Linked DNA regions of Rhinolophus ferrumequinum. The main gene of each other region encodes a partner of the protein of the gene in region 2 in a complex. Links are inferred from orthologs where the notes say so. Each region holds a gene or a part of one and is shown on either strand. Other genes may lie near its edges.

Region 1 (15,746 bases), on a different chromosome or scaffold from region 2:
TAGTAGATAGTGGGGACAGGGCATAAGGAAAACAGCACTAAAGGGAAGTTAGAGAATGAGGACAAAGAGTTAATATGCTAAAGATTTGTTAATCTAAGGATTATTTCTCGCCAACCTTGCTTCCTCAATAGGAGTCACAGAATAACTATTATTTTGAGGAACAACCAAAAATTGTGGGCCCACAGGAGGTTCAAAGAACAATTATTTCTCCCTTTCTCCTTGAGATTAACATCTAAGAATTGTAACACGATTTTATACTGCACATCCATCAAGGCCTACAACTTGAACAGAAATGTTTATTTCCATCTAAGGGACCTGAAGGTGATGACAGTGCAGTATTGCACGATGGAGACCCAGTGACTTTCCCTGGCAACCCTGAAGAAGACGGCCATGCATTTTCATGCAGTGTAAAGGACCAGACAGCACTCCATGGCAAACAGGCTACCAAGCCATGCTCTAGAGCTACACTGTCCAGAAGGTAGCCACAAGCCACATGTGACTATCTAATCAAAATTACATAGCACTAAGGGAAAAAATTGGTCTATTAGCACCAATTACACCAGTTATTCTACCCTTAAGTGAAAAATCAACAAGACATGCCTTATTGTAAGACTTATTACAGTAAAAAAATATCAATTATAGAATCTACATTAGCATATGGATGTTCGTTTTACAATTCTTTCAACAGTTTTCTATGTTTGAAATTTTTCATAATACAAAGTTGGGGGAAAAAATTCTAATAGGACTATAAATTCAGTTACACTAGCCACATAGCCACATCTCAAGTACTCAGTAGCCACATGTAGTTGGTCGTGGCTACGCTATTGGACTGCACGGATACAGAACATTTCTATTAACTCAAAGTTTACTGGGCAAAGCCACTCTAGTCTAGCTGCTCAGGAGTCCAGGCAAGACTTCAGGGACTAGTTCTTTCAACCTAAGGTCAGTCCTGACTGGTCCCTGGAGCAAGTGGATTATGACTACCAGGACTACACACTTTTAAGGGGGAAGAGGGGAAGGAGGTTTCAGATGGAGGAATAACAGAATACTAGGGCATGGTTACTGACAGGAGAAATAATACAAGGCCAAGTCTATCAGAAAGAGGCTCAAAGAAACTGAGAAATATGAGTGGGACCTGTGCTCATTACGAGTTACTATATATAGATACACATACACAAACACACACACGCACACATTTAAATCTAAATTTTAAATAATTTTTTTAAGCTGAGAACTCATTTAGTTTCTAGACACAGAAAATACATATTTGTGAAAAAGGGCATAATAAAAGATATGCCTAACTTGGGGTATTGATTGGCTTTACCCTTGAGGAAATCACTGCTTATACCAAAAATATTTAAATGTAAATAATCCCTGAGTTTATGATAAATGTAAAAATCCACAACCTTCTGTAAACAACCTCTATAAGCACCACAAAATTAAATCCCATCAGGTAAGGAAGAAATAAGGGAAGATCTACAATTGCCTTTAACGGAAGGGAATCTGGCTACATATTCCTACCTGAAAGAACGTGTACTATAGCATGTTCCTACGATAAATTTTTTATTAACTTTAAAGTGAGTAAGAGACATAGCCTCCTGAGGGAAAAAAACAAAACAAAAAACACTCTCCATCCAGGCTTTGATAAGTTTTATTGGAATGAAAGGTGGCTTTTATTTACAGATTTCAATGTGTGTGGGGACTGTCCAACCCACTTGGACACAAGTGAAGATAACCATTAAGCCTGTTTATGTATTTTCTTATTTTCAGTTTGCATACAAAAAGAAAATTTGTTTGCTTCACACTCATAAAAATCCCAATACTGTAAATGACAAACAAACCCTCCCTTACCCATCCCTTAATTAAATATAAAAACACCTTAAAAAAACATACAATTTAGATTGGTTTAATCTTGAAATGTAATCCAATAAGACTAAACACTAAACATTTCAGGTCCTGTACCAAATAGTAAAATACTCGAAGGCCTTCAGGATCCCTAAAATTTAAAAAGGTAAAAGTTACTTTTTGTTCCTAGAAATAGTGTAATTTTAAATTAATTCATAAAACAAAACAAAAACCTAAAACAATTAAGTTAAAGACATACGTAGCTAAAGCTATTAAGCTACACTGGATTCTTTTTTTCATTTATTTGGGTATTACACCCAAAGAGGAAAACGATGTGATGTGCTATGGGACTAATGAGGCTAATATCCAATAAGGATATCTTTTAAATTTTGTGACACTGTGTCCAAATTTTTACCCAAAAAAAAGTAGCTAATAAAACTTGGGCATTATTATATATAGCTGTCAGATTAAGATTTTTTATTTGAAAATCAATAAAATACACTGCTACCTTCTTCGATAACAAGTTTTTAATGACATAAAAATCAGAATTTCATATGCATAATAAACTGATAGGGTATCATGGAAATGATCTCAAACTGGATATAGTCTTAAAATGAACCTCTCTAATAAATGTTATCAATTTAATGAAAATGCTTTAACATACTCACTTTGACTGATTGACATCAATAAGAGAACCTATTTTTGACGTCGTAAAAGAAATGTGTTCATCTCCGATTACAATTTCAAGCTCCTGAAAAAAATAAAATAGAGAGATGTAGTTAATATAAAAATTCATCCCAGAGATATCTGTATTCTTGCTACTGAGAAGTCCCAATTTTAGCTGCAGTTTTTCTAACAAAGAAAAAGAAAAAAAGACATTTGATCTGTTAGACATAAACTATGTCTATAAAATAAAAACCTGATCACCTATTCAAGAGTCCCCAGTATTAGGACTAACCAAAACTCCTCTCCAGAGATCTCATAAAGATACTATAAAATGAATGACATACTTCAGGGTGACAATAAATGTTTCATGTAATGTCAGTAAAAACTATTGGCATCACTCTGAAGCACAGTGTTGTAAAAATAATATGATCTAAGTCTTTTTAATATAATAAATATAAACACACTTACCCTTTCACCAGGCTCTAAAGATAAAATGTATAATATGAATAACAGCACCACTTTAGTACCCACTATGTGTCAGGCTCTGCTGCTACGGACTTTACAGACATTATCTATAATCCCTGAAATACGCTTGGGAGGTAAGCGTATTTTACAACTGTGAAATCCAAGACTCAGAAAGCATAGGAAAAAACTTGATATTCACAACCACCAATAAGTGAGGGTACTAATATTTGAATCCTGGACTGTAAGACTGAAAGACTCATACACTTTGACTTCACAAAACATTAAAATTAAGAACTAGTAAAACAAATACAACATAATGTAGATGTCCCCAGTGTGCCACAACTATTGTACAAATTTTTCTCTGTATTTTATCTGCAAATCTAAAACCAACAATTAAGAGGCTATGTGTGTGGTGATTTCTCAGGTTAAATAGCACGCCATTCAAGACAGTCTTAGCTACATCACTGATCAGAAGACCTAATTATGCACAGTTTATGGCACACACAAAATAATTAACTAAGGTTCTTAAATAATCATAAAATATTTGACTTAAAGATCCAATAGACAATTTCTGGAGCATGCCAAATCCTCCCCAATACCAAAACACATGATCACATCAAGTGGATTGATGAAAATACTGGGCGCTTCCTGAGTTTAAAAGAGATAAACAGTTTATTGCTGTTGTTTCTGTTTTTTAGAACATATGTACATATGCATAAAACAAACTGAGATCAAAATTTGTGTTTTAAAACTGTTTACAATGCATAAAATACTCTTTACTATTACTTTTGTTTTCCTAAATGTTTCTTTAAATAGAGTTAAGTTATTGCTACAGAGTGTCAACATCTGTTAAAATTTCTCCATACATTTTCTTCTACTCAAAGGTGTTACAACGTATAATCCTCAGGAATATACAAAAGTGAAATTATGTTTCTTCTTCCAAGGGTCATATTGCATTTCTCCAAGAGTTGAAAAGATCCAATTCAGAAATCAAACTGTCTTTCAACAGAGTGAAATTAGGCCTTCAGATCTCTTCAGAAGCCCTTTAAGAAACATTAATTACTCTGAAGGGAGTATGAGAGGCAAAGGCAGTGGTCAGTTTGAACAAAGAAACCAATCAAATCCCTCTCTGGGGCAGAAAGATACAAATAAGAATTTTCAAAGTTATAAATTTAGAGAAAGTAAATTTTACATGGTCAATGAGAATCCTGTCTCCAATTTCACAGACACCTGTACTTATTTCTAATAAAAGTGGTTAACATATAATAGAAATTATCCATAACAGTGTGAAAACATCCTAACCTGGGCTGGCTGCCACAAAGACTGTTCAGAAAGATGTCTCAATTTACAGTTATACATGGATTCCTTTACTACTAGGAAGCAGCACAAAAAATGAGACCAAGTAAAAGAAAATTAAAGCGTATTTACTAGGTATCTACTAAATAAAAAACTAAAGAATCAGTGAGGATCTATTCTAAATAAGGAGAAACATAACAGTTATATTATCAATTTTTAATATTTATGCATTTAAAGAATCCCTAAATACGAACCTGTCGACCAACCCTATCAGGAGGAGGCCACAAAGCATCATCTTCTTTGGTAATTTCACTGTCATCAATAATTCTCTTCAGTTCTTCCATTACACTCTTGTGTACATAAGCCTGAAAACAAGTTACAATAAAAATTTCATAATGCCTATTTCTTCCCACAGGTCAGAAGGAAATGATAAAATGGAGTTAAAAATCCTAAATATTCAAATAGAATATCACAGAAAAACTTAATTCCAAAGTACAAGATGGGAGGGAATCATTCATCCTTCTTAGGATTTTTCTTCTCTCTTGCCCTTTTCTTTTAATATATATTGTTCCCTCGTCACATCACTTAGCCCCTTTTTAAACCGTTGTATTCTGCCTTGGTTAACATGGAACTCAAATATCTCCAAGTGATTCATAGCGACAACACAAAATTTGAGGTGAACAGAGACAAATACTAGAACACATCACAGTGATCTGAACTTTTATCCCTAATTTTGGAGCCTTTCATTTAAAATTCATATTGTGTTTAAATCATGATCATTGTTTTAAATAGTGAATAGAGTAAAAAGACAAATTAATTATGAAGTGAATTAAATGGTATGTTCAAATATGAGACTATAACAATATATTCAGATTGCTTCTTTTGTTGTTACAGATGCTATGATTAGATCTAATTTAAACTGAATCACTTTTCAATCTATAAATTGGATTCTTTACAATACGGACTTATATGTATTTTTGTAAATTCAACACAGACTTAAGGAAAATGGCAAATGTAAAAAACTGGACATTCAAAAAAATCTTACCTCTTTTCTGATCATGACATCATTTTTGTAATTGCTGTTGTTGGCATATCTAAGCTTTCCTGTGGGGAGTGGAAAAAATTCAATCTATAACAGCAAAAACTGCTAAAAAAAATAATAATAATAAAGAAATGACACTGTAAGCAATTTTGAAGATAAAGACCATACTATACTACTACTTTTATTAATAATTCTTCCCTCTCAGCATAAGATTAATGCTAGACATGTAGGCACACAAAGATTTGCTGGTAAGTTGGCTACAGTTGAAGCTAGTCAAATTTTTAAACATTCCATGCCTTTGATATAATTTCTAAATATTCAATATAATTTTTAAATATTCTATACCTTCAGTATAATGGGAAGGCCATTTTTTAAGGCCCATTTTCTTAAGCTATGTCCTAAACTAGACAGGGAATCTGAAAAGAGAAAAAACTCTTCTTTTAAAGTTTGTGTCTGTGTTGGTACCAAGTGATTAGCCCAGAGCATTTAATCTAATCAGTTAAACAACCTTAAAAAGTGGGTTTTATTCTCACACCTATTGATAATTGAGAAAACAGTTAAGTAATTTGCCCAGGGTAACACGAGATTCAGCTCTAGATATACCTTCTTCCAAGTACTCCAAAATTTGGAGTAATTATTTTCCTTCAAATTAATGCACGTATGATAATATGGCAATGGTAGTATTTCAGAATTGTGGTTAGGAAGCACACAAACTATCTGCTGCTTCTGGATAAAAGTTGGCCAGTTTGTTAGCTAATCTATACTTAATTTTAATCCATTATGACTTTTGTACTCCCTGATGCATACTTCCCCTTATGGCTAATTAGTTGCCCAGGTACAGATGTAATGTGCTCCTGACCCTCTAAAATGATAGGTTAACCTAATGAGGTGAACGCCTTAGGAATCACTATTACTGATGGAAATATGTGCATGGTGTGGTAGCTGATAAATGGATGAGAACCACTGTTTGGGCATGAAATTTCCCTGATAACATTAGACTACTTAATTTATGTGACTGGCTAAGGACAAGCTGAAAACTATTCCCAGGCCAAAGCACTGAAAAAACATCACCTAAGGAAACAACAGATGGAGAATTCAGGTAAATTGGCTCCTTAGCTAAATTTAGAACAGACGTGAGGAAAACAGGAGAGAAAAAGGTGATTAAGGTTTCTAAATAATTGCAGGTCTGTAGTGACCTGAAATGTCTGATACTCTTCCCCTTTTCTAATATGTGATTCTCCCCTAAGTTCTCACAGAACTTTGTCCAAAACACGAACACAGCACTTAATAGCCAGACTGCTTTATGGTTAGTTTCATGTATGTGTTGCCCATCAAGATGTAACTCCTTGTGGGAAATTAAAGAGTCTTAACCACTACCGTACCCTCAATTTTTGTATTTACATGCTGCCCAGCACATACCATGCATTCAGAAAAGAAAAGTCTATGCAGTCGGACTGAGCTTGTTGCAAAAAGAGTTCAATATACAATAAAACTCTCTAGAGAATCAGAGCTGAGGAAAAATAGAATCTGCTGTACACTTCCTGGGCAGCAGGCAGTTTTACTTCGCCCTCTGCTCACGCTGCTCTCACTGCTGTTTTTCCTGCAGAGGCCAAGAAAATAATCTATTTCCAGATCGTCTCAACTGTCACCTTCTCTGGGAAGCTTTCCCCGCTCCTTCATGTAGAACGTTATAACCACTCTCCTTTTTTAATTTTAATTCATACTATAGAGAACAACTGTATTGAAGCACCCACAATAAAGATACACCATTACACTCATTTTTCTACACGTTGGTCTTCCCCTTCAGAGGACGCCTCATTCGTTTTTCTAGACATGTTGCCTTACATACAATGCCTGAATGAATAAAACGGATGAATGGGTAAATCCAAAAGTTACTGGCCACCAAAAGATTTTAAGCATCCATTAAATCAACGCACGTTGGGGGATGTTCTTTAAAACGTTCAAGTATTAGGTCGATACGTTAGACGGCCTTTCCGGTCCTTTCCGGTGAGCTGAGTCTAGGATCCTGACTACCGTAGGTTCAGCTGTAGTATCTGGCAGGATTACCTTTTCGGAATTAATTTACATCGATTAATTCTCGTTTATTCACAACACCTCTTTTGTGAATAATTTATGCCTCTTGTATTCTCAAGCTCCCATTTACTTCGGCGCAAGCAGTGGCCTCAGCCCTCACTGTACACTTGCACGCCCACCCCAGGGGCTCGCCCACCCCACCCCGCCTCCTCCGCGGCCTCTCCGCCCCGCTCCCCCAGGCCCAGCACCGCGCTGCAAGGCGGCGGCCGCCGCCGCTCCTCCGCTCACCGTCCGGCCGAAACTCGAACTCCAGGAACTCATGTCCAAACTTGCCCTTGTGCCCTACATAGTAGCGCAGGTAGAAATCGCTGGCCAGAGACATCTTGGTCTCCAGAAAGCCCGCCGAAGGCCTGGCCTACTCGCCGCCGGGCGCCTAGCAGTGACGTCAGTCGCGCGGGAGAAATGCGTCACTGCGGCGCGCCCCTTCTGCCTCCGGACTCCCCAGAGGAGGGCTGGGAGGCTGCAGCTCCTACAGGAGGCCCGAAGCCAGCGGAGTAAGGGTCGCAACGACTCGAACTTCGCTTACTGGCGACAGAGGCATGTTATTTTCAAACTTAAGTAAATCGTAAATAGCAAAGGACAAAAGTGTGAACATATGATAGCATTTTTTATCGGCTTACAACTAAGGTGCAATTGCAAGGCGCGTTTAGTTTTCGGGTCTCGATTTCTCGCGGCATCCTGTGAAAAGGTGGGCGTGGCATCACTCCCCTTTAACTGGGGGGATGAGTCCAGATAAAGCCCGGAATCGAAATGATAGATCTGGAATAAAACCCTTTTCTCCTGCTAGATTCCTAACTCGGGGCTTTCCCCTTTGGACAGTGCTAGCTGTCCGGCTACTTGATGCCTATGAATAATAGAGACAAGGTAGAATCCATCAGACAAGAGGTCTGAAAATTTGAAAGGCACATTGAAAATGAAAATCCCGACAGGCATGGTATAAAAGAGTTCCTTTTAATAGTAAAACTTCTTTCATTAAGGAAAGGTTAATCTTTAGTGGCCTGAGGAGTTTTGGCAATGTGACTTAAGGTCAAATGGTTTAGCCCACGTTTCTTACCAAATAGAATAAATTGGGGAGGGGAGGGATGCTTACCAAAGGGTTTAGAAGGATGGGCAAAGGCCAGGTGAGCTTTCACACAAAGTCTGTTTTTCAAATATTGATCATCCTTCCTTTACCAACACATAGAGTAATCCTGTTGATGACTTTTGACCTTCAGTGGGGTTTAGTAGGAAGAATGGCAGACAGAAGACCTGGGATTCATTCCCAACCCTTACATCTACCTAACATTGGTTAAGTCACTGTCTCTAAGTCTGTTTTTCCATCAACCAAATGAATATACTACAGTCAACTTTGCCAAGCACACAGAATTGAGAGGGCCAAATGAGATAATGCATGTAAAATAGATTTAAAATGTATAAAGCATTAAATAATGAGATTTAACAGGTACTCCTATGTGCCAGAAATGGTTAGACACTGTTAATAAAAAGATAGAGCCTTTGCATTTGCAGTCTAGAAAATAAACATATAGACATATTAGCACAAGGAAGCAAATGTTAGAAAGAATTTTTTTTAATGCTGGTAGTACAGCAGAGGAAGCAAGTCACTTTATTGGGGAACAGGAAGCTGAAGAAAGGGAAGTATCGGGGAAGCCTAGTGTGACAAGACGTGCTATTTGAATTGGACCTTGTGGGATAAGTTGACTATATGTTCAGAGGGATGGAAAAGGCACTCCAGGAAGAAAACAACCTGAGCAAAGGCACAGTGGTGTGAAAATGCATGTGTGGGGACAGAGCCCCAAAAAGCAGTTTCCAGGCTCTCGGCCTCACATAGAAAGGTGCTGGCTCAGGTAGTAAATGGCCATCGACTGTGATCAAATGGCCATCAGCTGTGGCTAGTTGGCCGTCAGCTGTAACCAGTGAGCCATTGGGCACTAATATAACTGCCGTGGCTAGGCTAGCAGAAAATGGGGGCCTAGCAAGAAGATGGTGGCTGAGTCTGCAAGCGGCGCAGTGAGGGTTGAGAATTGTGTTGCTCCTGTTTCCTGTTTCTCCAACACAGCCGCCAGCGAGAATACAGTGGTATGACTCCCCTACCTATGGCTCCGTGGGTGTTCCTTTTTGGCCTAGCCATGTCCTGCGTTCTTGTGTGGGGAGCGGGACCAGAGACCCCGCCTGACACCCCGCATGACAGCATGATTTGGGAAGGCCAAGAAATTCAGTATAGTTAGAACATGAAGTTCATGAAAGTGGAATAGCTAGAAAGGCAGATTGGCCCGGATTATGTTGACTCTATATTAACGATTATGTAACTGTCAATATAGTAGTTTGTATTAACCATTGCATCAGTGTTTACATAGGAAAATTATTCAATTCCTACTGTACAGGCTGCCATTAGGGAAAATATATAAGAAACATAAAGCACCATCCTTTACCACTAGGGCGACTAACCATTCCAGTTTGCCCAGGACTGAGGAGTTTTGTGTGATGTGGGACTTTCAGTTTTAAAACCTGGGAAGCCCCAGGTAAGCTGGGATGACTCAGTCACTGTACCTATTACAAGAATAACCCACAGAAATTTGACCACAGTATCTATGAAAATACAGGCAGTAATCCATTTGGTTTGTTTTTTGTAGGGAGCCTCATTCAATCTCGTTAGATTCCCTAATGCATTTCTTTCAGATTTTTGACACATATGCTAGCATTCATGTTTACCTAAACAGAGCTACAGATACCAGATCTGTGACTGTAAATAGAGCTTATGGAATGCACAGTGTTAAAATCTTTCTCTGTGGTCCAATTACTGTCTCTATGCCCTGAAAAGACTTCTGCGGTCAAGACTAATCCTCTCTAATCCTGTTTTTAAAATGAATTGCGAAAATATATTAATCCTTCATATCTTTAGCAAAAAAAAAAAAAAAAAGCCAAAAATGTGTCTCTCTCATAGTATAAGGATTGCAAAGTAATAAAACATAAGCTGTTTTGTGGTCTTGGATATTATACAACAGAAATATGGAAATGTTGTGAATGGCTACTGAGCACTTGAAATGTGTCTAGTGAGGCTGAGGAACTGAATTTTTTATTTTAAAATATTAATTTGTGTGAATTTAGATTAATATTTAAATGCAATGTGTCCCCTGGCTATGGTGTTGGACAGTGAAGTTATATAAGACACGTTTCATACACTTTTACTTGGGCTGGAAATAGTGAAAACATTTTTCGAACATTAAGAAATCTCAATCTCAGTGGTTGTAGGCTTCAATTTAGGGCATGCTTACTGGTATCACCACTACAGTTTATTCAATTTGTAATGTACAAATGCCCACATAAATAAGTGTATAATGTCTCTTACTTTCTAGGCTGTAATCAAAAGCTCTCCGTTCCTTTTATCCAACACCTAGCACAACGTATAACAGTGTTGTCCTTAAACTTACCACTCAATTTTTTAAAAAATATTTAAATCAATAAATATTTTGTAAATTTGACTTAAATGAACAGCCAAGAAACAACAATGAGATTCCAGAGGACTTCATCATTTTGTGCCAAGCCACTCAACCTTCCTTCTCTCTACTGCTACTTACCACCCCTTTAAATCCTGACTAGTTCACTGTGGTATTCCTACAGGTACAAGAATCATTATTTAGTTGGATGACTCATCATGACTCCATCAGGAGTCTAACTTTTATGAAATTTTCAACTGCCAGTCATCTTTCCTACAGCCTTAGATGTCCCACCCAGAGTACCCCGAGTGAGTATTCTTTAAAATCACAGATCACATGTCCAGCTGAATTGTCATCATCGTGATATTTTCAGTGTTTTGAAATAGGAGGAGACTCTTCCCATCCTCCAGAAGCTCACACAGAAATGATTACTTCATCATTTTAGTCCTGTGGTGCTTGTACCACACCATCATCCTTAGGCAGGCCCTGCCTTGCAATGTGACTGACAAACCTAGGTTCGCTTCTCAGCCACAGATTTTAAATAAAAAAGATATGAAAGATTCTAGGATAGGAAGGGAAAAAGGAAACTAACATTTATTGAGTACATATTATGTGCCAGATACTGTACAAATACATACTCTCATTCAGTCCTCACAACAACCCTGTGAGGTAAGTATTATCCCCATTTATCCATTTTCTGCCAATGTAGATTGCCTCTTGAATTTTTCTGTTGACGTTAACTTCCATTTATTTACTTTTATCCTCCCTATTGTCAAGATGTTAGCAGCTGTATACTAGAAAAGCCCACTTTCACTCAGTGAATATTAACGTAATGAAATAAGTTTCACAATACATCAGCAGATGATTGAAAATCAGAAGCTACCATCCTTCTGTCTCAGGTGATGTCCTTTGCTAGCCCTTGTTAAAGACCTTCTGGCCTACTAAGCATTCTTGCTTGATTTCCACATTCCCTATTTGTTAAACACACACATTATATTCATCATGAGCCTGACTCTCCAGGCTCCGTCTCCTTAGTCTTACAGGGACCAGGAAGCTGGCCTGATGAACACATGTTGAATGTTCCTAATCATAAAATGATCCCTCCAGGTTCTCGTTAAAAGTAAAACCACCAGGGTTTACCTGTGTTACTATTAGGGAAAAGGGGGCTATCTTTCTCTTACCTACGCTCAGGGGAAACTCAGAAGTTTTCCTTCACAGTTCTCCTCCAGCCCTGCATGAAGGGGCCAGGACTGAGGAATGTGACATCCTTTCTCCACCTTCACTTTGAAGGATGACCTTAGTCCACATCTATACTCCTGAGCAAATAGAAGGACCTTTAATTTTCTCTCATCAAGTTCTTTATTGGCTTTCTAGTCCCTCATTTGACTAATTTCTGTGGACCTTATAATAGCCTCGATAAAAGCATCCTTCAGGAGGAAACTAGCCTGTGGTGGGAGCAACCAGCTTATTTGTACTGTGCCCCAGCAAACATCACAGATTTCTAAAACCTCCTGTGCAGTGACACTGGCTACCACTTCTACCCTGAGTCTTCAAGACTGGGACAGCAGAAATGAAATTGTATTTCTCAGCCTCAAGGGTATGCAGCGTGTAGAGTTTCACCCAGCATCACTTCACATATCTAGGGAAACGTATGGGGGAAATCCAGGATCCATGTCCTCTTTCTCTCTTTACGTCCCATTAGAAAGTCCATCCTCTGTTCTTGGAGAAATTGGTTCCAAGAGTATATGATCACCCATGGATGTTTCTTGCCCTGGGATTGTCAAAGGAAGCTGTGGCTGTAGGAGAGGCTGTCCACGCTGATCCCTGCCACAGCTGCATACAGCTCAGGCACCACCAGCTCTGGTACCTGCAGCACAGCCTTGTCATCTGCAGTTTGAGCAGCAGTTTCTAGGCGTGAGCATAGCTCTCTAAGGGAAGGGCGGCTGTCCTCACTCCAGCGCCAGCAGGACTTCATAAGACCATACCTGCAAGGGAAATGAGAGACACTGACTTCCCTGACCAGGCAAGTGTATGAGAAACACGTCTCCTCTCCTAAACAAACTTGAACAAAAAAGCGCTACAGTTCTTTAATCTACTTCTCATTGTCCTGTCTCTCATATTCTTCCCAGAGATTAATATTCATTTCGTCCTCTTAATACTTAGTCTCTTAAAATCATCTTCTCAATAGCACCCTTTTTATAATAGTAATGACTGAAGATTCCTCGGAGTACAATCAGTATGACAGAACAGTTTGTGGTTTTTCCTCCCCCATTCTATTGCCAAATGCTCTTTCAGAAGTCAAGTGTTCTCACCTTTAGATGTTACTAACTTGTAGCATTCCAGACCATTGCTACAATTTATGTATCAGTAGAAGCTACATTATAGCCAGGAAAATAAGAAGTTATGGAATAATATGATTCATACTAATTTTTAGGTGTTCCCTTCCGTTAATCGAGGTCATTTCCCCCCTTTATAATTTAGCTTCTTCAGGAAATTGCCTTAATCTAGATAAAAATACTTTAATCCATCTTTTCTTCAATCCAGTTTAGAGAATGTATAATGCTATCTGTTTTCAAATACTTTTATCATGTACGATGATACCCTGCTCAAGAACCAACAGTTTTCCACCGCCTACCACATGATGTCGACATCCTACCCCCAGCTGTCTCCCACTCAGGCCTGGCCTAACTGAAGCCCTCTCCTCCAGCCCAGTGTCTTGCTATGTCCTACATGTGCTATTAACACCCAGCTCTGCCTTTGCTCATGCTATGCCCAAAGCCTTGAAATCTTCTCTGTCGTCATCATTCCCTAGGTTTGTTTTAAATCTCAATTCCTCTATGAAACCTTCCCTTATAAACCTCAGCCCACCATGTTTCCCACGCTCATTAACCTTGTACCATAAGACTTTGTGAAAGATGCTACTTTAACACTACTAACATTTACCAAGAACTTATTATATAAGGCATGGAAGTGGAACTCAACATGCATTATTTCATTTTAGCCTCACAATAACAAAGGTAGGATTATCATTTTACCTATTTTAAGATAAGTAAACAATGTGCAGTAAAATAACAGGACTAGGACTGAGCATGTGTCTTTTTGACTCTATGAGAGGAATCTGAGCTTTTAACCATTTTATTTACTACCTAACACTTTATGTTGATTTTCATGTTTTTCAGGTATCTCCTTATCCAATGTTAATTTCTTCAAGATTAGGTATTTTATCAGTTAAGTGTCTCCCCCCAGTGTCAAGGACAGCCTTTTACACATAGAAAGTTTGCAAGAAACATTTTTCAACAATTTCATTCTGGTATACCCAGCCAGTATCACTATATTGTGTGTGTTTGTGTGTGTGTGTGTGTATGTGTGTGTATTTATAGTTACGATAGTTAACATTTGTAATCTGCTTGATATAGTAAATGTTTATTATAGGGAAACCCAGGTACTGGAAATTTACCCTTTTGATGCTGAAAAATTTGCAAAATTTACAATTTTAATGAAAATGTATATTAATATATACATTTATAAATAATCTAAACCTTTTCTTATGTCCTATAACCATCCCTTTTTGTATTTTATTGGTTATAAAATTCTGTGCACAACTTTAAATTTTTCCATTTTTTTGCTCTGTATTGGTTCACCAGCTGTCCCTTTCTGCTGACAATATTGGATTCTCCTTCTCCTGCCTTTCTAATTTCTTCCTACCGCCCCTCTGGTTGGTTTCTAATGTGCTTATAGCTGGAAAAATAGATAATTTTTAAAAGTTAAATATTAAATAAGAGCCAGTAAGTAACCTAGTGCAGTGGATTTTATGGCAATTATATTAGAACTGAGGCTGGCGGTCTCTGACTGAGACTGACATTTCAACGAATAAAATACTCTGTACCTGCATTGGATTTGGTCTACTTCTTACCTATTTTAGAAACTTCTGGAGGAACTAAACTATCAAATTTAGATTCATAATATAGTTGCCTCAACATGGTGTGTGTGTGTATGTGTGTATACACACACATATACATATGCAATATGTATATATATGATGTATGAGCAGATGTGTTTTACTGTGTAGGTTTGGTCTAGGGATGCACATTAGCACAGAAAGGACAGCTAGGGATCAACTGAGTCACTTTGAAAAGGGCATGATTCATAGGCAGCAAAAAATACTTGGATTTCATTCTTCTTTATGGCCGAGTAGTACTCCATAAAGAAGAATGAAATCTTATCATTTGCAACGATATAGATGAGAACATTATGCTAAGTGCAATAAGTCAGACGGAGAAAGACAAATACCATATGATCTCACGTATATGTAGAATCTAAAGAATAGAAGAAATGAACAAACTGATCAGAAACAGTCTCAGAGATACAGAGGAAAAACTGAGGGTTGCTAGATGGGAGGAGGGTAGGGATGAGGGAGAAGGTGAGGGGATTAGAAAGCACAATCGGTAACCACAAGATGGCCACAGGGATAGGAAAGACAGTTTGGGGAATAGAATCAATAATGTAAAGATTTTTGTAGGGTATCCGATGAGCACTTGTCTTATTAGGGAGACCATTTCGTGGATGGTGTAGATGCCTGACCACTGCAGTGAACACTTGAAGCGGAATAATACTGAATATACTAAATTATAGTTGAAAAAAATATATATATATATATATATATATAGTCACAGGATATAGAGTACAGCAATAGTCAATGGAATTCTAACAGCTATATACAATGTCAGGGGTAGTAGGTTGGGGGAGGGGGTTATCATTTTGTGAGGGGTATAAATGTCTAACTAGTACATTGTTTTGTACACCTGAAACTAATAATAATAAAAAAATACTTGGAATGAGAGACAAGTAGGCCTTAAATGCCACTTACATGGTGTGTGTGCAGCTACTGGGTCTCTTCATGATTT
Region 2 (15,951 bases):
AAGGACTCACAGAGATATTCACATCCGGCTGTGCAGGGACTTCTCGCAGTGGGATGGGACCTGGTGTCCCCTCCCGGTCAGGTGTGGCCACCGCTCTGGTCTCTGTAGGCGGCCGGGAGGACTGGGTCAGAGCAGGAAGAGCCTGCCAAACCAGTGCTGATGTGAACTGACAGCTCTTTCACGCCATGTGACTTGTTCCAAAACTCAGACTTCAGGCACCAAAGACTAGTGCAAGGGAATAAAACAAAGGTAAACTCAGATCCAGGAAACAGCTGGGCAGACCTCTGACACGTGTGGTTTGCTCAGTAAATTAGAGAAACTTGAGAAACTCAGTAAATTAGAGAAATTAGAGAAAATGAGGGTACAGACTGAGGGACTGCTAGAGAGATAGGTACACTAACATGATTTTTCAGAAATAAGATCACGTCCTACATGATTTAAAAGTAAAATTTTAATTTTATTTAAATTTAAAGTTATGTTAAAAAGAATCACGGAATTGCTGAATGCAGTATAAATGTTTCTCAACTGTAAGAACTATTACTTCCTTAGAAATCCCCGTTCAGATTAAGATAAGAGATTATGAAGCGCACGACAAGTCAGACGTGTGAAATTGACAAGCCTCACGTGAGATAGCAGCCCTGTCTCCTGGCCATGACATACAAGGTAGCCCACTGCCTGCAGTCCCTGCTACCTGTTGGGGTGCCCAGCTGTGACACGTTGGTGACTATTGCACCTGCCAACTCTCCTTGGTATCCTGAGGTTCAGAGCCCAGTTTCCTTCTGGAAACCTGCTTCCTAGGGCTGAGCCCATCGGTCCCTTCCTGTCCTAGCGTGCTATTCACAAATGACACAGTTTGGTGACCGTGTATCACAGACAAGGCGGCATGTGCACAGAGGCCCAGCCCCTCACGCTGTGGTGGGGACAACAGCAGAGGTGTCACCTCTGGCTTTTCCCTCAGTCCCACCAGGAGACGCCAGTCTTAAAGTATACAGGGCCTGGGTCAATCTAGTTGTGGAGGGTGCAGCTCAGCTCCAAGTCCAGTCCCCATTTTCAATCTTTAGTTGCAGGGGGCTCAGCCCACAATCCCATGCAGGAATCGAACCGGCAACCTTGTTGTTAAGAGCTCATGCTCTAACCAACTGAGCCACCCGGCCATCCCTGGGACAGGATTTCTTAACCTTCCACTTCATAAAGGAGAGTACAGCATCTTTATAAACCTTTATATTCCCCCCCAAATTTCTCACAAAACATCCACTTAAATATGCATCAAGCCTCAGCCTAGAAGTTCAAAAACAGATGGGAAATACACTGACCCTGGACTGTGACCCCAACTTCCTTTGATAGGGGTCCATGGCTCTGAATCTGCTTGGGTCCAAGGAGTCAGTAACCATAAAACTCAGGCTCACAAAATACTAATTCCATGTTTCCCCAAAAATCAGACCTAGCTGGACCATCAGCTCTAATGCGTCTTTTGGAGCAAAAATTAATATAAGACCCGGTCTTATTTTAATATAATACTGAGTCTTATATAATACTGGGTCTTATATTAATTTCTTCTCCAAAAGATGCACTAGAGCTGATGGTCTGGCTAGGTTTTATTTTTGGGGAAACACAGTTTTTGTTTTTAGCAAATTACACCTGGCTTGCTCTCTGGTATTATATTACACAGTTGCCAAGGGGCCACGTGGCCAGCTCCAGGTACTCAGATCGGTGAGCAGGCCCAGTGATCAGGACCGGCAGGGAACTGAGTCCCACAGGCCTGCAGGAACTTCGGGTGCCTTCCCAAGGCCGGTCCAGGGGTGACAGCCTGCTCTGGGAGGGTCTTCTGGTCCGACAGCCCCCCCCACTTGCCTCCCATGGGAGGTCTGACAGCATTTGGCTTTTCTCAGACCCCCCCATCAATCAAAGTGAACTCAGAAAGTCAGGGCCAGCTCAAGATAGAAGTTGTTCCAGGACTTTCTAAATGCCAACCAACTGTTGCTCCTGGATCCTGGGACCCCCAAAGCCATATTGGGGTTTGGGTATAAGTGAGTGTGGCCCAGGAGCAGCCACTCTAGCCCATTCTTCCTGCAGTGAAGCAGCTTGCAATGGACCCCGAAGGGCAATACAAAATGTGGGGGTTTCTTTTCAAAAACTCAGCCCCAATTTAAACAGGGGTGAGTCCCAACAGTAAAGCAAATTTAGCCCACAGACCCCTAAGGACGCTCTTCCTCTACAGCCATTCTAGGGGTGCCTAAGGTCAGAAGAGGCCTGAGCACCTAGATGGGGTCCTCGGGTTGGGTCCCTCCCACGCCAGCACTGGCCACACCTTAAGGCTCAGTGTTATTGCCTTCGAAGTGGGCGAAGGAGAAAATACGTGTACATGCACTCGTCCGCACGGGACTCCACAGAGGAAGGAATGCGTTAGAGGAAGCTTAGGGGAATTGATGATTCATAAATACGATGGGAGAGGCAGAAGGGCACCAAGCACCAAAGGAAGAAGCCCTCCCTCGCACCCCTGGCTCAAATCCACACCAAAGTGCCACTTTATGTCTGGCTGTGCCCTTGCCACCAAGAGCAGGCAGCTGGTCGCACTCACTTCGTACCTGAACTTAGAAACCCTCCTTCCCCTTTCTTTCGCCCTGGGGCAACAATGCTGAGATCAGAGTACAAAACAGTGCATTCCTTCATCCATCACGGCCCCAACTGTCTTACATGAAGGTGGGACTCAGCAGCCGATGTCCATGCAACTGAACCCAGCAAAACCTTCACAAACCAGGCCCCACCTTTGATGAGGAGGAAGCCGCCCCTAGCACCCCCCACCCCCCAAGGACAGCTCTCAGCCGCCATCCATCCGGGCCTGCCCACCCTCCCCTGCTGTGCTGACCTGCTCTCCTCGGCAGGGACTCCATGCGCTGACTGTCCTCGTGCTCCAGGAGGATGACTGACTGTGTCACACTCTTGGTTGAGAAGCAGAGAGCAAGCAGGTTTGACAGGCGTGTCTGCCGGGCCCTGCCCATGGAAGTGATGCCCTACACGGGGCCTCCGCGCATCCCTGAGGCCCCAGGACACTCCCACAGCAGGACTGCCATGTGCAGAGTTCGTTTTGCCATTGTGAGAGCCATGGGAAGCTTCTGGAAATGACTGCAGAAGGTGGTGATTGACAGGATGGGGGACGATCCTCCTTCCTTTGTGAACAGTCAGCCGGTTCATCATAACCCCTCAGGGAAAGTGCTGGGGAGACTGGGATGAATCCTGGAGACTTTCTTTGGTTCTCATGATCAAGTACGGGAAGTATCTTACAATTCCAATGGATGCACCTGAAATCAGCATTTGATGACTACTATTTAGATTCAGATGACAGTCTTGGTTCTTCGACTGCGTTTCCCCAAAAATCAGACCTAGCCAGACCATCATCAGCTCTAATACATCTTTTAAAGCAAAAATTAATATAAGACCTGGTATTATTATATTATATTATACTATATTATATTACATAAGACCCGGTTTTATAGTAAAATAACACCGGGTCTTGTATCAAGTTTTGCTCCAAAAGACGCATTAGAGCTGATGGTGCAGCTTGGTCTGATTTTCGGGGAAACACGGTAGGCTAATACATGTCCAGAATCGGATCGCTGCTTGACACCTGCATGGCTGTGCCCTGATCACCACCTACCTGTACCCCTGCAATGATCTCCTAGCTGCTTCCTCCCTTGCCCCCAAAGCTAGTTCTCAACACAGCAGGCAGAGCAATCCTCTTAAAGGGGGAGTCCGGTCACGTCTTTCCCTTTGATCTAGAAGCCCCCAAGTCCTCACCATGACCCAGACACAAAGCCCTGCTTATCTTGTACTTGATGACCTAATTCCCGTTCAACATGCCACACACAGGGGCCTCCTTGCTAGTCTGTGAATGCTCCGTGCACACTCCTACCCCAGGGCCTTTGCACCTGCAGTTCGCTCTGCCTGGAATGCTTTTTCCCTCACCTCCTTCAGGACTCCACTCAAGGGCCACCTTCCAGAGAGGGCTTTCCAGACCACTCTATCTAAAATCATAGACTTCCCACCCTGGCCGTCCCTCCACCTTGCCCTGATTTTTCTGTATTGGACCCATTGCTCCCTGACATATTACATATCCTAGTTCCTTGTTTGCTTCTTGCCCTCCTCCCCACTATGAGCCTGTGACCTCCAGAGGACAAGAATTCTTGTCCTTCGTATAGCAGAGCCAGGCCATCTTTTACACTGATTATCAGAACGCGTTCCTGTCCCCGCAAAGAACGCACCCTGAAGTGGCTACTGTGGCAACTACGGTGCCTTTAGCCTCCATCTCCTTGTCTGTAAGACCTTTCCTGATCTGTCCCTGTTCCCCTCCTCCCACTCCCCACCTCGCCTGCATTCATGATGCCACAACCACCCTGGCCTTGTCCTTTGACGTGCCAATACCCTACCCCTCCGGGGAGTCGTTGCACTCCGTCCCTTCTCCCTAGAACCCCGCCTCCCCCACCTCGTGTTTCGGTGGCCACCTCCTCTCACAATTCATATGGCACCTTTCTCCAGCCACCTGGTAAGTCAGCAACCTCCTAACTCCCTTCCACTTTGCCTCGTTTCGTTTGCAGCAGACTGGCTATAAAACCTGCAATTATCTTCCTGTTTTGCATGTTTTGTTGGGCTTGCCCTGTTCTGGAACACAGGTTCTGTGAGGGCAGCACTGTCTGTCCTTTCTCCACCCAGTCTAGCATCTCAGGGGTGCTGTGTGCACATCTGCTGCCCTGATACTGGACGCCAGCAGTGCGGGGTCAGCAGTCCAGTCCGGCGGGTTCAGGCGGAGCTTCGTCGGCTGCCCGCCTGGTGGGTGGGTTAGAGAGGGCAGCACCTAGAAAGAGTCTGCCATTGAGTACCAGGTAGTAGGTGGGGTTCCTGGCAGGAAGGTGCTGTTTGGGGACAGCCCCTTGGATCCAGGATGTCAATTCCCGTGGTGATGACTCATGGAAATCCAGCTCAGCCCAGCCCTACAGCACCCACCGAAACCTCGAAACCTCGTCCCGCCCCTGGACGAGGCCCACCCCTTTCACTGACTGCACTCGGGAGTCCAGCCTGGGCCAGGGAAAGAGGCAGATCGGAGGCGCAGCCCAGCGTCATCCGTCTTCCCCAACACGCTGGCGTGAACTCAGGCCCCCTCCAGTGTCCCTCCTGTCCTCTTGCCCCGGACATGCAGGCACACTTACTGTGTGCTACAGCAGTGATGGGGAACAAAACAGACATGGGCCTTCCCTGATATTGGTCTAATCAGGTGAGATAATACCTGGCCCCAAATATAAAGGGTGTGGGAGGTGAAGCGCAGGAGACAGAGTCTATCTGGGGGGAGAGGTCATCCCCCGGATTAGACTGACCCCAAGAGGACAAAGACGAAGTACGCTTTGTTCCCTATTGCTCCAAGAGCACCGTCCACCAAGAGACTGACTTGACACCCCCCCACCACACAGCTTCTGTCATTTTCATGGACTCTGGCCTGGAAAGCTAGAAGGTTATTGGTCCCAAACCTAAGGAAGAGACCCTTTAGAGGTGTATTCAGACACAACAAAGGGGACTTTGCCAGGAAAACAGCATAAAATACCATAAAAGTGTGAAGGCAAAAAATAAGTGTAGGTGGATCCCGAAAAAGATAAAAATTCCAAAGTGCAGAAGAGGCCATCATCCTCTCGGCACCAGAAGAGCGCAATCATTTCTTCCCCTCCTCTCCGAAGCCAGTGTTGTGTGAAGCCAGTGTCGTGCGGGGCGGCCTGCAGGGTCTCCCTCCCGCTCCCCACACAAGAATGCAGGATATGGTGAGGCCAAAAAGGAACACCCACGAAATTAATCTGGGGAACGTAATTTGGTGGTTACCAGAGGGTAAGGGGGTTGGGGGGTGGGGGATGAGGGTGAGGGGGATCAAATCTATGGTGATGGAAGGGGAGCTGACTCTGGGTGGTGAACACACAGTGTGATTTATGGATGATGTGATACAGAATTGCACACCTGAAATCTATGTAATTTTACTAACAATTGTCACCCCCATAAATTTAAAAAATAAAATTAAAAAAAAAAAAAGGAACACCCACGGAGCCATCGGTAGGGGAGTCACACCACTATACTCTTGCTGGCGGCTGGGTTGGAGACACAGGAACCAGGAGCCACACAATTCTCAATCCTCACTGCGCCGCTTGCAGACTCAGCCACCCTCTTCTTGCTAGCCCCCACTTGCTAGCCACAGCAGTTATATTAGTGGCCAATGGCTCACTGGTTACAGCTGACGGCCAACTAGCCACAGCTGATGGCCATTTGATCACAGTCGACGGCCATTTACTACCTGAGCCAGCACCTTTACTATGTGAGGCCGAGCGAGAGCCTGGAAACTGCTTTTTAGGGCTCTGTCCCCACAGCCAGAATTCCTCAAGTCAGTAACCTCCAATTCCCTAGTCCCCCCCACACTCCTGGTGCTTATTTTACATGCGTTAAGTACTTAGGGCAGCAAGACCAATCAGAATCTCATATAGAATTAAAATGTTTCTCGTTGCTACACTGTAATAGTAAAAAGAAACAGGTGAAGTGAATTTAAGTAAGTCAGTACATCTAAAATGTCATTTCAACATAATCAACGTAAACATTAGGCATGAGCTGGGACGTCTTTGGAATCTGTGCGCATTTGACAAACAGCCCTAGACAAGCACGCAGCTGGCAAAACCAGAGTGTGCGCAACCCCCGAGAAGGCACCGGATGGATGATCCCTCGTGGAGTGAGAAGACCTAAGAACTTCTATTTAAAGTCTAAGAAAGAAACTCGGCTTTATAAGTACTTCATATTTGATTAATACCGGCATCCTTCTTAGGTACGTTTAGCAGGTCAATTAGCTCTAAGGACTGGACTTACTCTGACGTCAGGGTGAGGGCTTGGCCGAGAAGCCCTCACTCCTTTGCTGGCAACCTGTGCAACCCAGTGCCCGCTGCGCTGCCGGGTGTAGCGGGTGACCCGAGCGTCCAGCGTTAACTAAACTCGCCTTCCCCACGGGCCGGAGTTCCGGCAGTCCCGGGCAGAGGCCCCGGGTGAGGGCGCGCCGGGTGACGCGAGCCAAGGAGTCAACGAGAAAGGACCGAGCTGGCGGCGTGCGGGAGTCACGTTCACAGAGGGAAAGACACACAGTGTTCGTACCCCGGGGGGGACACAGGCCAGGCGGGGAGGCCGGCTCTGCAGCCGGAAGTGGAGGGTCAGGTGGCACCACCGGCAGAGGCACAACTAGTTCACGTCCTCCAGGGCAGCACAAGGCCGTGGTCTCCGGGGGTAGGAATTTACGGAGGTCGGGGCTGCAGCGTCAAACGCGGGCGCGTCCCCACGGTCACGCAGCCGGTGCTGGGTCCCGGTGCGGGGACGCCGCCCGCCCGCAGCTCACACAGCCAAGTCAGCTCTCACAGGCCGATCGTGGCCTCCCGCGACGCGTCCTCCGCGGCCCAGCACACGGGACCTCAGCCATGAGCACTAACCCATCTCCCACGTTGTGCCCGCGCCCTCCGGCCCCGGCCAGCGCCAACGTCGGAATAAGCGTTTAAACGGGGGGACGTGCGCACTGGGGGGCCCTCGCCCCGGGTGCCACTTGAGGCAGGGCCGCCTGGGGCTCCATTCGGAACAGGGGCGCCCGGGCTCGGCCCGCGCGGAGGACACGGCCGCGGGGCCGCCGCCGCCTCAGCACCAAAGCATCTTCCTCCGAACTCCCGAGGCCCCACCCACCGTGAGATCCCGCGGGAGCTGACTTGGCGCGAGAGCATCAGGAACTCCGCCCCTTTTCCTGGGGCGAGCAACCCTTCCGCGTCGCGGGACGAGGGGCTCCGCGTCCCTGCTGAGGCGCGGCCCTGACGCACGCTCGCACGCACGCTCTACGCAAGCCGCGCGCCTGCGCGGTGACGTCAGTTCCTGTCGGCGGCGGCCTCGGGCCCTGTTTCCGCTGTGCGCTGCCGCGCGCGCTCCGCTCTCAGCCGACCCGGGATCATGGCGGCCTCAGCCACGATGGCCACCTCGGGCTCGGCGCGGAAGCGGCTGCTCAAAGAGGAAGACATGACCAAAGTGGAGTTCGAGACCAGCGAGGAGGTGGACGTGACCCCCACGTTCGACACCATGGGCCTGAGGGAGGATCTGCTGCGCGGCATCTACGCCTACGGTGAGTGGGCGCAGGCCCGGGGCGCGGGCGGGAGCGCGGGGGGCGAGGCGGGGGCCGCGGGGCGCGGGCGGGGGGGGCCGGCGCCGGACGCCGCGGGTCGGAGCTGAGGCCCGGCGTGGAGCGAGGCCTGGGGCCGCTGCTGGGCGCCCTCCGCCCCCAGCACGCCGTCCCCACGCCGCGTCCGTGGGCTCGGTGTGGGGTCCTCGCGGCAGAGCCCCGCGCTGGTTCCTCAAGAACTGCGAAGTCTTCCGGGCGTTTCCGAGTCGTTCATTCAGCCGGTACGGTCTCGCGCCGGCAGGTGTTAGGGCCGAGCGCGGCTCCGGGTACCGGCGTTAGCGGTGAGCCGGGCGCCTTCGTGCCCCGGGGAGCTTACGTCGTCTGCGGGAAGGACGGCACGTAGCCCAGGTCGCTTCGGGGAGTGATAACGGCTGTGAAGACAAGAAAGCGGGATACCTGGAGTGTGACTTGGGGGGAGCGGGGGTTGAAATAGAGCCGGTAGACGAGGGGGCTCCCAGGAGGAGTCGACGGTGAGCTGAGAGCTGGAGCAGGGAGCCCGTTACGAGAAGACGGGGGTGGAATTGGGCCGCGGGAGCAGCCGATGCCGGGGCCCCGCGTTCCCTGAGCGGGGTGCAGTCCAGGAACAGAAAGAAGCCTGCTGTCCTGGGAGCCCAGGGATGATGAGCTGGGAGAGGGGACCAGGGCCAGCTTTTGAAAAGCGTCACGTTAGGTGATAAAACGTTTGAGTTTGATTTGTAAGAGCAGTGGGCAGCCATTGGAGGATGGAAGCCAGGAGGTGAGGCCGTCAGAGTTACTTACAGATGTTATCCGGGTGTCTGGATTTGAGGGGAGGTAGGGCAGGAGAGGGGCAGGGGGACGAGTTAGGAAGCTTTTGCTCCTGGCCAGGGCAGAGGTGATGGTGAGCACCCCCCGGAGACGGGTGCTACGAGGCTCCCTGAGGGGCCGAGTCCGAGCAGCAGAGGAAAGGGGGCATGCGATTCCTGTGTTGAGCCGGTGGTGGTAGACACACCAGAGGAATGATTCGCGGGAGACCAAGAGTGGTCTGTTAGAGTTTATTTGGCTGTTTGAGCTGCAGGAGGTCAGGCTGGTGGAGCCAGCAGAGGGAGAAGATCATAACCCCCCGAGCAAAGGGGGATGGAGTTTTATAGGAGGGTGAACGAGGCTGTGCCCCCGTCAGTGACAGGGTTTCAGGGCTCCACGCCCCGGCCCCAGGTCACACACCGCCCGGGTGCACTGATCACAGCCCCCCAGGAGATAAAGCAACACAGGATCAAGACATGATGGCTTTGAAGATGCGGTTTCTGCTACTGGCCTAAATATGGCTTAATGGCTTAACAGGCGGGTGGTGCTGCCATTTGCTTAGGTGGGGAGCGCCCGAGGGAGGCAAAATCAGGGGCTCTGTCTAGGACATGGTGAACTTGAGGGGCCTGCAAGCCATCCCGCTGGAGATGCCGGGGAGGCAGGTGTCTAAGTGGGGAGCCCTGAAAGAGGTGGGGTCGGGGGTGCCGATGGGAGTGGTCTGCATCTGCCTCACACCTGGGACTGGGCCATCTTTTACCCAACAGCCCTTGACATCACCGCGGTGTAGACAGAGCAGAGCAGGTGCTGAGAGGATGGCAGGGGAAGTTGCAGTCAGGCTTTGGAGTGAGGCTGACAGCCCTGCCGTCAAACGCGGTTTTTAGTTTCCCGTCCATGTGCTTGGTCATCATGAGGGGTTTAAATCACCTATTGTAGTTGCTTTAGTGTTAGATGGGAAATTGTACTACATTTTAAAGTACTACCAAACTAGTTAAAATACAGTTTGGTACATGCGGTTTTGTTTACTTGGACAATATTTCTGTTCCTTCTGAGTGGGCTCCTCCCTCGGTCACTTACCCTGCTGTGCGAGAGGGATGGGTGGTGGTGGTGCCTTTCCTGTCGCCCCCGCGTCACGACAGGGAGGAACCGGGCGCTGACCACCCCACAGGGCCGCCTGAACAGTAGCTTATGTGCAGTTGCAGACGAAGCAAACAACCTGCAGACGTAATGCTGACACGAAAGAGTGGTGGTTACAGCATTAATGAATTGATTTTCCTTGTTTTAATTCAAAAGTAATGTAAAAAAGAAAAGCAACGCAGGTGATTGTAAGGTAGTCAGACAGCACAGAAGTAATTACATAGGCTAAAATGTGGGCCTCCCCCACCCTTTCTCCAGGAGTACCACCACCACCATTTTGTGTGTTTTCAACCCAACTAGGAGTCGTTATACTCTGCAAGGGTGTTCCTTGTAAAATAAGGGCCCGCGTCAGTCAGTATAAAAGGCCACTTCTGCCCAATTTCAGCAGCTGTTTCTTGAGCGCTTGGTATGTTGGACATGGGGTTAGGAGGGGTGGGGTGGGGGTTAAAAGAAGATGCCATCTCTGTCCCAAGGAGCTTACAGTATATGGGTGTAAAGATGTGGGGCTAGAGGTTCGAGCTAATTTGTTCTGGTTTTCTTTACAGGATTTGAAAAGCCATCGGCAATCCAGCAGCGAGCTATCAAGCAGATCATTAAAGGGAGAGACGTCATCGCACAGTAAGTCTGCTCGCACGGAGGGGTCACATGCTCTGGTAAAGCCAGCTCAGGTGACCCTGGAACAACACGGCTGTGAGCTGTGTAGTGCCACTTACACGCGATTGTATTCAGTAAATACGCTGAAGGTATTATTCTCTCCCTTACGGTTTATTGGTAACATTTTCTTTTTTCCAGCTACTTTATTGTAAGAATATAGTAGATAACGTAAGGAACGCAGTTGCTTACATTATGGGTAAGGCTGCCGGTCAGCAGTATCCTATTATAGTTCAGTTTTGGGGGCGTCCAAAGCTATATGTGGATTTTGGTCTGGGAGGGAGCTTGACCTCCCCAAACACTGCTGTACCAGGGTCAGCTGTGCACTTAAATGCTTCGGGGTGACCGGTTTTCTGTTTTTATAGATTCGTTAGCAACCCTTTCCATGACTTGAGCCACACGGTGTTTTGTTCTTTTGTTTTTATTTTTGTGTTTGCTATTCTAGAAAGTTAGTTTCCTTTTTTTTTTTTTTTTGTCAGCTTTGCTTACCTACCAGTGGGCATGTGGCATTGTATACAATACTCTTAATAGCTTTGTTCCCAATTTGTGTAGTTTTTAAAGACTCATTTACCAAAAAAAAAAAAAAGAAGAAGAAGAAGAGAGAGAAATTGGAGGATGGTTTTGGTCCTGAATGATATTTACAGGAAGGGAAGCTCTCTTTTTCTGCCACCTGGAGCACTTGCTGGCGGTCCAGATTTTGCAGCTCCGTCACCCTGATGCAAAAACCACAGCCACTGTCCTTGTCCCCTGTGATTTAAAAGTGGTGACACCATGCTGAGTCCCACCCCCTGGCAGTTAGGATCACAGTTAAGATGTTGGTCTGTTTGGGGGTTGGGGGCAACTGCTTGGAGGAAGCCGTCCAGTGCTCCCACCCCTCGGAACACTCTGGCGGCGTTGTGTGAATGGGGACAGTGGCATGTGGCCCTCGGTTGTAAGTCCCACTCGTCTGTGTTTTCCTAACAGGTCTCAGTCTGGCACCGGTAAGACTGCCACCTTCAGTATTTCCGTCCTCCAGTGTTTGGACATTCAGGTGATTTCCGCTCTGTCTATGCTTGGGAAAGACTTCCTTTTCCCCTGTCACTGCAGTGTTCAAGAAGTACAGTTTTTATATGTCTCTGGTTGTACTGACTCAGCGCCTTTTTTAGGAGAAAATTGCACACTAATATTTGAGCTTACTAACACGTTACCATAAATTACTATTTGTTTAAACTGGGCAATTTTTTAAACGTGGAAATTCTTGTCTGCAAACTAGAATGCTGACCAGTCTGCCCCTTTATGGCTGGATATGTGGTTTCCGGAACAGTAACTTTCAATTAGCTCTGTTGGAAGTCAGCGGTGTGGTTAACATGTGATAAGTTGAAAACAGATTTGAGTCTGAAGTAGCATCGTCTACCTTGAAAATACTGAGGAGTCTCTTTTCTGACGAATTATTTTACCAGGTTCGTGAAACCCAGGCTTTGATCTTGGCCCCAACGAGAGAGTTGGCTGTGCAGATTCAGAAGGTGAGACAGTCCCAGGGGGCAGTGTCGTGTGTGCGGGAGCTGCTCTCGAGCCCAGTCCCAAAGGGCCGGCTGAGGGACTTCATTGAATGCTGGTTTTCTATGCCCTCACTTTGTTTTCCCTGACTCCTAACAGTTTGCCATAAATCATTATATGTTACATGAGTCGCTGTTTTGTATGAAGTCATTTTTAGTGTAGCTTACATGATTCCAATAGTTTTTTGCAGTCTTAGAATTGTAGTGTTTTTTCCAACAACAAAAAAATGCATTTTAATAAAAATAATGGTAACTATGTTATACGTATTGTAAACATTTAGGAAGGATATACGTTAATACTGAGGGTGGACAGGAGTATGAGTTTTGCATAGGTATTTTCTGTTATCATGTATCGCTTTTGGATGATAGGGAACCAGTAAAACTGCCTTCATCTCACTCGGTGCAGAGAAGACTATGTAGCAAGAGGAGAACTGGGCTCCTTAGGTGTAAATAGTGGCCTCCGTGCTTGCTGGAATCTTACTGGAATAGCAGTGACCTTCCTTTTCGGGAAATGCAGATGTTTCTGACCTCCCAGTGGCCTAGACGCAGGCCATGGCCGTGACCCTGTGTTTTAATCCAGGGCCTGCTCGCGCTGGGTGACTACATGAACGTCCAGTGTCACGCCTGCATCGGGGGCACCAACGTGGGGGAGGACATCAGGAAACTGGACTACGGGCAGCACGTCGTGGCCGGCACGCCTGGCCGCGTCTTCGGTGAGTGCTTCGTCTGTGCCAGAGGTGCTGCAAGCGGTAGTATCTGTGAGAAGTGCTCAGGCGGTCAGGTCGTCTCGGTGTCATCCGCTCATGGCGGCTTCTGCTCGCCGTCACGCGTGTATAGGACCTGGAGGGAAGGGCTCTGAAATGCTGCGCAAACCCGATGAAGTGGCTAGTTCTTTCCTCGTAGCCTGATGTCTCTCATTATTTCCAACTCGAATTTTGTAGACATGATCCGTCGCAGAAGTTTGAGGACACGTGCTATCAAGATGTTGGTTTTGGATGAGGCTGATGAAATGTTGAATAAAGGTATGAGGAACGAGAGAACTAATTTTCTACCAACAAATAATTCTTTGTAAAATTGAAACGTGGAGATAATGAAAGTGTTCTTAGCATACTGTGTTTCCCTGAAAATAAGACCCATAAGACCAGGTCTTATATTAATTTTTGCTCCCAAAGACGCATTAGAGCTGATGGTCCGGCTAGGTCTTATTTTCGCGGAAACACAGTAAGTAGTTTTTTCTTTGTGGAAAACAGTTTTGCCTTGGGGGCCATAGGAACATAGAGCCCATGCTGTGGTCGTTTTATGGTTGGGCTTTGTACGGTAGCATTTCAACCCGCACAGATAGGACACCACTCTTCGTGTGCGGTGGTTGGTGCAGGTGACACAGGCGAGCAGCTGAGGTGCGTGTGGGTGGCTGAGGGGGTGTAAGTGGTATGCCAGCGGGCTGTGTTTGTGGCAGCAGGGCGTTCTGTTGTACAGATGACGCCTCGTTTGTGTAACCTGTCATTCTTTTGGTTATCTGGGCTCTTGTTCAGCCTGCACCATATTAAATCACGTAAATGAGTTGCCTATTTAACTGGCAGCTTTTTTATTGAGGTGTAATTGACATGTAACATTGTTAGTTTCAGGTGTACAACATAGTGTTTTGGTTTTTGTGGGAGACTTTGGGTTTTTTTTTAATTGGGAGTTTTTTTGGTAAAAATCCAGGTCTCTGGATTCTCTTAAAACGCGGCAGATCAGGCCACAGGGGACGCAAATCCTCACAGGGCAGCAGCAGCTGGCACTGAGTCAAGGCCACGTGCAGGCACCCAAGTGTGGGTGACTCAGGGCTCAGGTGTCTTGCTTGTAACTGTTGGCATCCAGGACTCTTGGGGTGGGGACCCCCAGAGCCCACGGGGCAGGCAGAGGAGCAGAAGAAATCTGTGGGATTGGTCGGCGGTGTGGAAAAGGTTCCTTGGGAGGAGCTGTCACTTCACAGGCATAAGTCCGCATCTCACCAGATGTGAGCGTGGGACGCTCCTTCCCTCCCGCGTGCACACCTAACCAGCTCCCCGGGTCTTGCCCCTCACCCCAGGTTTCAAAGAGCAGATTTATGACGTGTACAGGTACCTGCCCCCAGCCACGCAGGTGGTGCTCATCAGCGCCACGCTGCCCCACGAAATCCTGGAGATGACCAACAAGTTCATGACCGACCCTATCCGCATCCTGGTGAAACGGTAGGGATCGAGACAAGCCGTGCTGGGGTTTCACAGAGGGAAAAGTCTAATTTTCTTGTGTGGGGAGCCGGCCTCAGACCCAGTAATTCCAGATTTCAAAATCAGTTGACGGTGTTGGTTTATCGGTGTCTGAAGGCATATGAGTGTGCTCTTGTGTTTGGAACCACATCCAGGGCGGTAGCCGTTGTTAAAGGCTCAGACAGCCCCAGAGCTTGGGCCCGCGCGGTAGAAGTGACTTCTGGGAGGGTGTGGGCCAGCGGGAGGCGCGGGCAGGGGCTCACCGGCCAGCCTGGCGGGGCCCCCTGGCCTGCGCGCGCTCCACTCTTAGTTGAACGAAGGATAACAGGATTTGTCTCTGTCATCCAGTGATGAGTTGACTCTGGAAGGCATCAAGCAGTTCTTTGTGGCCGTGGAAAGAGAAGAGTGGAAATTTGACACGCTGTGTGATCTCTACGACACGCTGACCATCACGCAGGCGGTCATCTTCTGCAACACCAAAAGGAAGGTGCGCGGCTGCCTCGGCTCTTTCATCCGCGTGGTGAGACGCGGACATCGGCTCTCCCCACAGCTCGGGTCAGACTTGGCTGGGCTGCGAGGCCGTGCTTTCGGCTCTGTGTGCACGTGGTCTCTGTGACACCTTCACCTCTGCCCTTTGGCACAGAGGTCGCCGTGGACAACACGTGAACAAACGGACGTGTCCACGACACTGTATGGAAGTATTAATGCTGGGTGTGGCTGGTTGTAGGTGGTCAGGTGGTCACACAGTCCCCCGGTGTCGCCAATCTGTGTGCAGGCAGAACTGAGAATCTCCAGCAGCACCCCCGAAAAAGGAGGAGGTGTTGGGCCGCATTCCAAAAAAGATTCTACTTTAAACTTCAAATAAGCATAGTGAGAGGGGTTTTTTCCTGGAGAGATTTACAGGGAACGGATAAATTAGGATCTTTGCCCCGCTGTGTGCTGGGCAGAGTGACGTTTCCTGCGCGTCCAGTAAGGATCAGTAGTCCGAGGGGTAGGACACTTGATTCACGAGCGCTCACGTCGGTGCTGCAGCAAACTGAACCCAGTCCCGAGCGCAGCCTCTGCCTGGTTAGGAGCTTCCAGTACCTTCTGCCTTGATTTGCAGGTCGACTGGCTGACGGAGAAGATGCGAGAAGCCAACTTCACCGTGTCATCGATGCATGGGGACATGCCCCAGAAGGAACGGGAGTCCATCATGAAGGAGTTCCGGTCCGGCGCCAGGTGCGTGTCCGGAGCCTCCTCTTCTGTGCAGGTGGGGGGGTCCCGCTGCTGCGATAGTTGGGGTGATGACCACCAGCCTTCACGAGGTAGGTTGGTTGCCTCGGTAGGTTAGTTGCCTCGTGTGGAAGGTTTGTTTCTTTGTTTCCAAATAAATGGGGATTTTCTGTTTATCTTTTTGTAATTGGCTTTTAGCTTAATT

The links.
Region 1: EIF4A3 (region 2) and MAGOHB share a complex: the UniProt entries of both Homo sapiens proteins name them as parts of the mRNA splicing-dependent exon junction complex. The link is inferred for Rhinolophus ferrumequinum from reciprocal best matches to the Homo sapiens genes EIF4A3 and MAGOHB.

What each region holds. Positions count from the first base shown.
Region 1 is NC_046293.1:26,237,746-26,253,491, forward strand, and holds MAGOHB (protein mago nashi homolog 2), read right to left. Parts: upstream 7,805-15,746; 5' UTR 7,731-7,804; coding exon 7,637-7,730; intron 5,377-7,636; coding exon 5,318-5,376; intron 4,638-5,317; coding exon 4,527-4,637; intron 2,597-4,526; coding exon 2,514-2,596; intron 1,997-2,513; coding exon 1,897-1,996; 3' UTR 1,636-1,896; downstream 1-1,635. Other genes in the region: tyrosine-protein kinase STYK1, read right to left, coding at 12,623-12,827, 15,710-15,746. UniProt on the Homo sapiens protein: Required for pre-mRNA splicing as component of the spliceosome. Plays a redundant role with MAGOH in the exon junction complex and in the nonsense-mediated decay (NMD) pathway.
Region 2 is NC_046304.1:53,510,940-53,526,890, reverse strand, and holds the start of EIF4A3 (eukaryotic initiation factor 4A-III), read left to right. Parts: upstream 1-7,956; 5' UTR 7,957-7,992; coding exon 7,993-8,161; intron 8,162-10,659; coding exon 10,660-10,732; intron 10,733-11,728; coding exon 11,729-11,795; intron 11,796-12,204; coding exon 12,205-12,267; intron 12,268-12,880; coding exon 12,881-13,013; intron 13,014-13,241; coding exon 13,242-13,322; intron 13,323-14,371; coding exon 14,372-14,513; intron 14,514-14,879; coding exon 14,880-15,018; intron 15,019-15,636; coding exon 15,637-15,752; intron 15,753-15,951. UniProt on the Homo sapiens protein: ATP-dependent RNA helicase. Involved in pre-mRNA splicing as component of the spliceosome. Core component of the splicing-dependent multiprotein exon junction complex (EJC) deposited at splice junctions on mRNAs.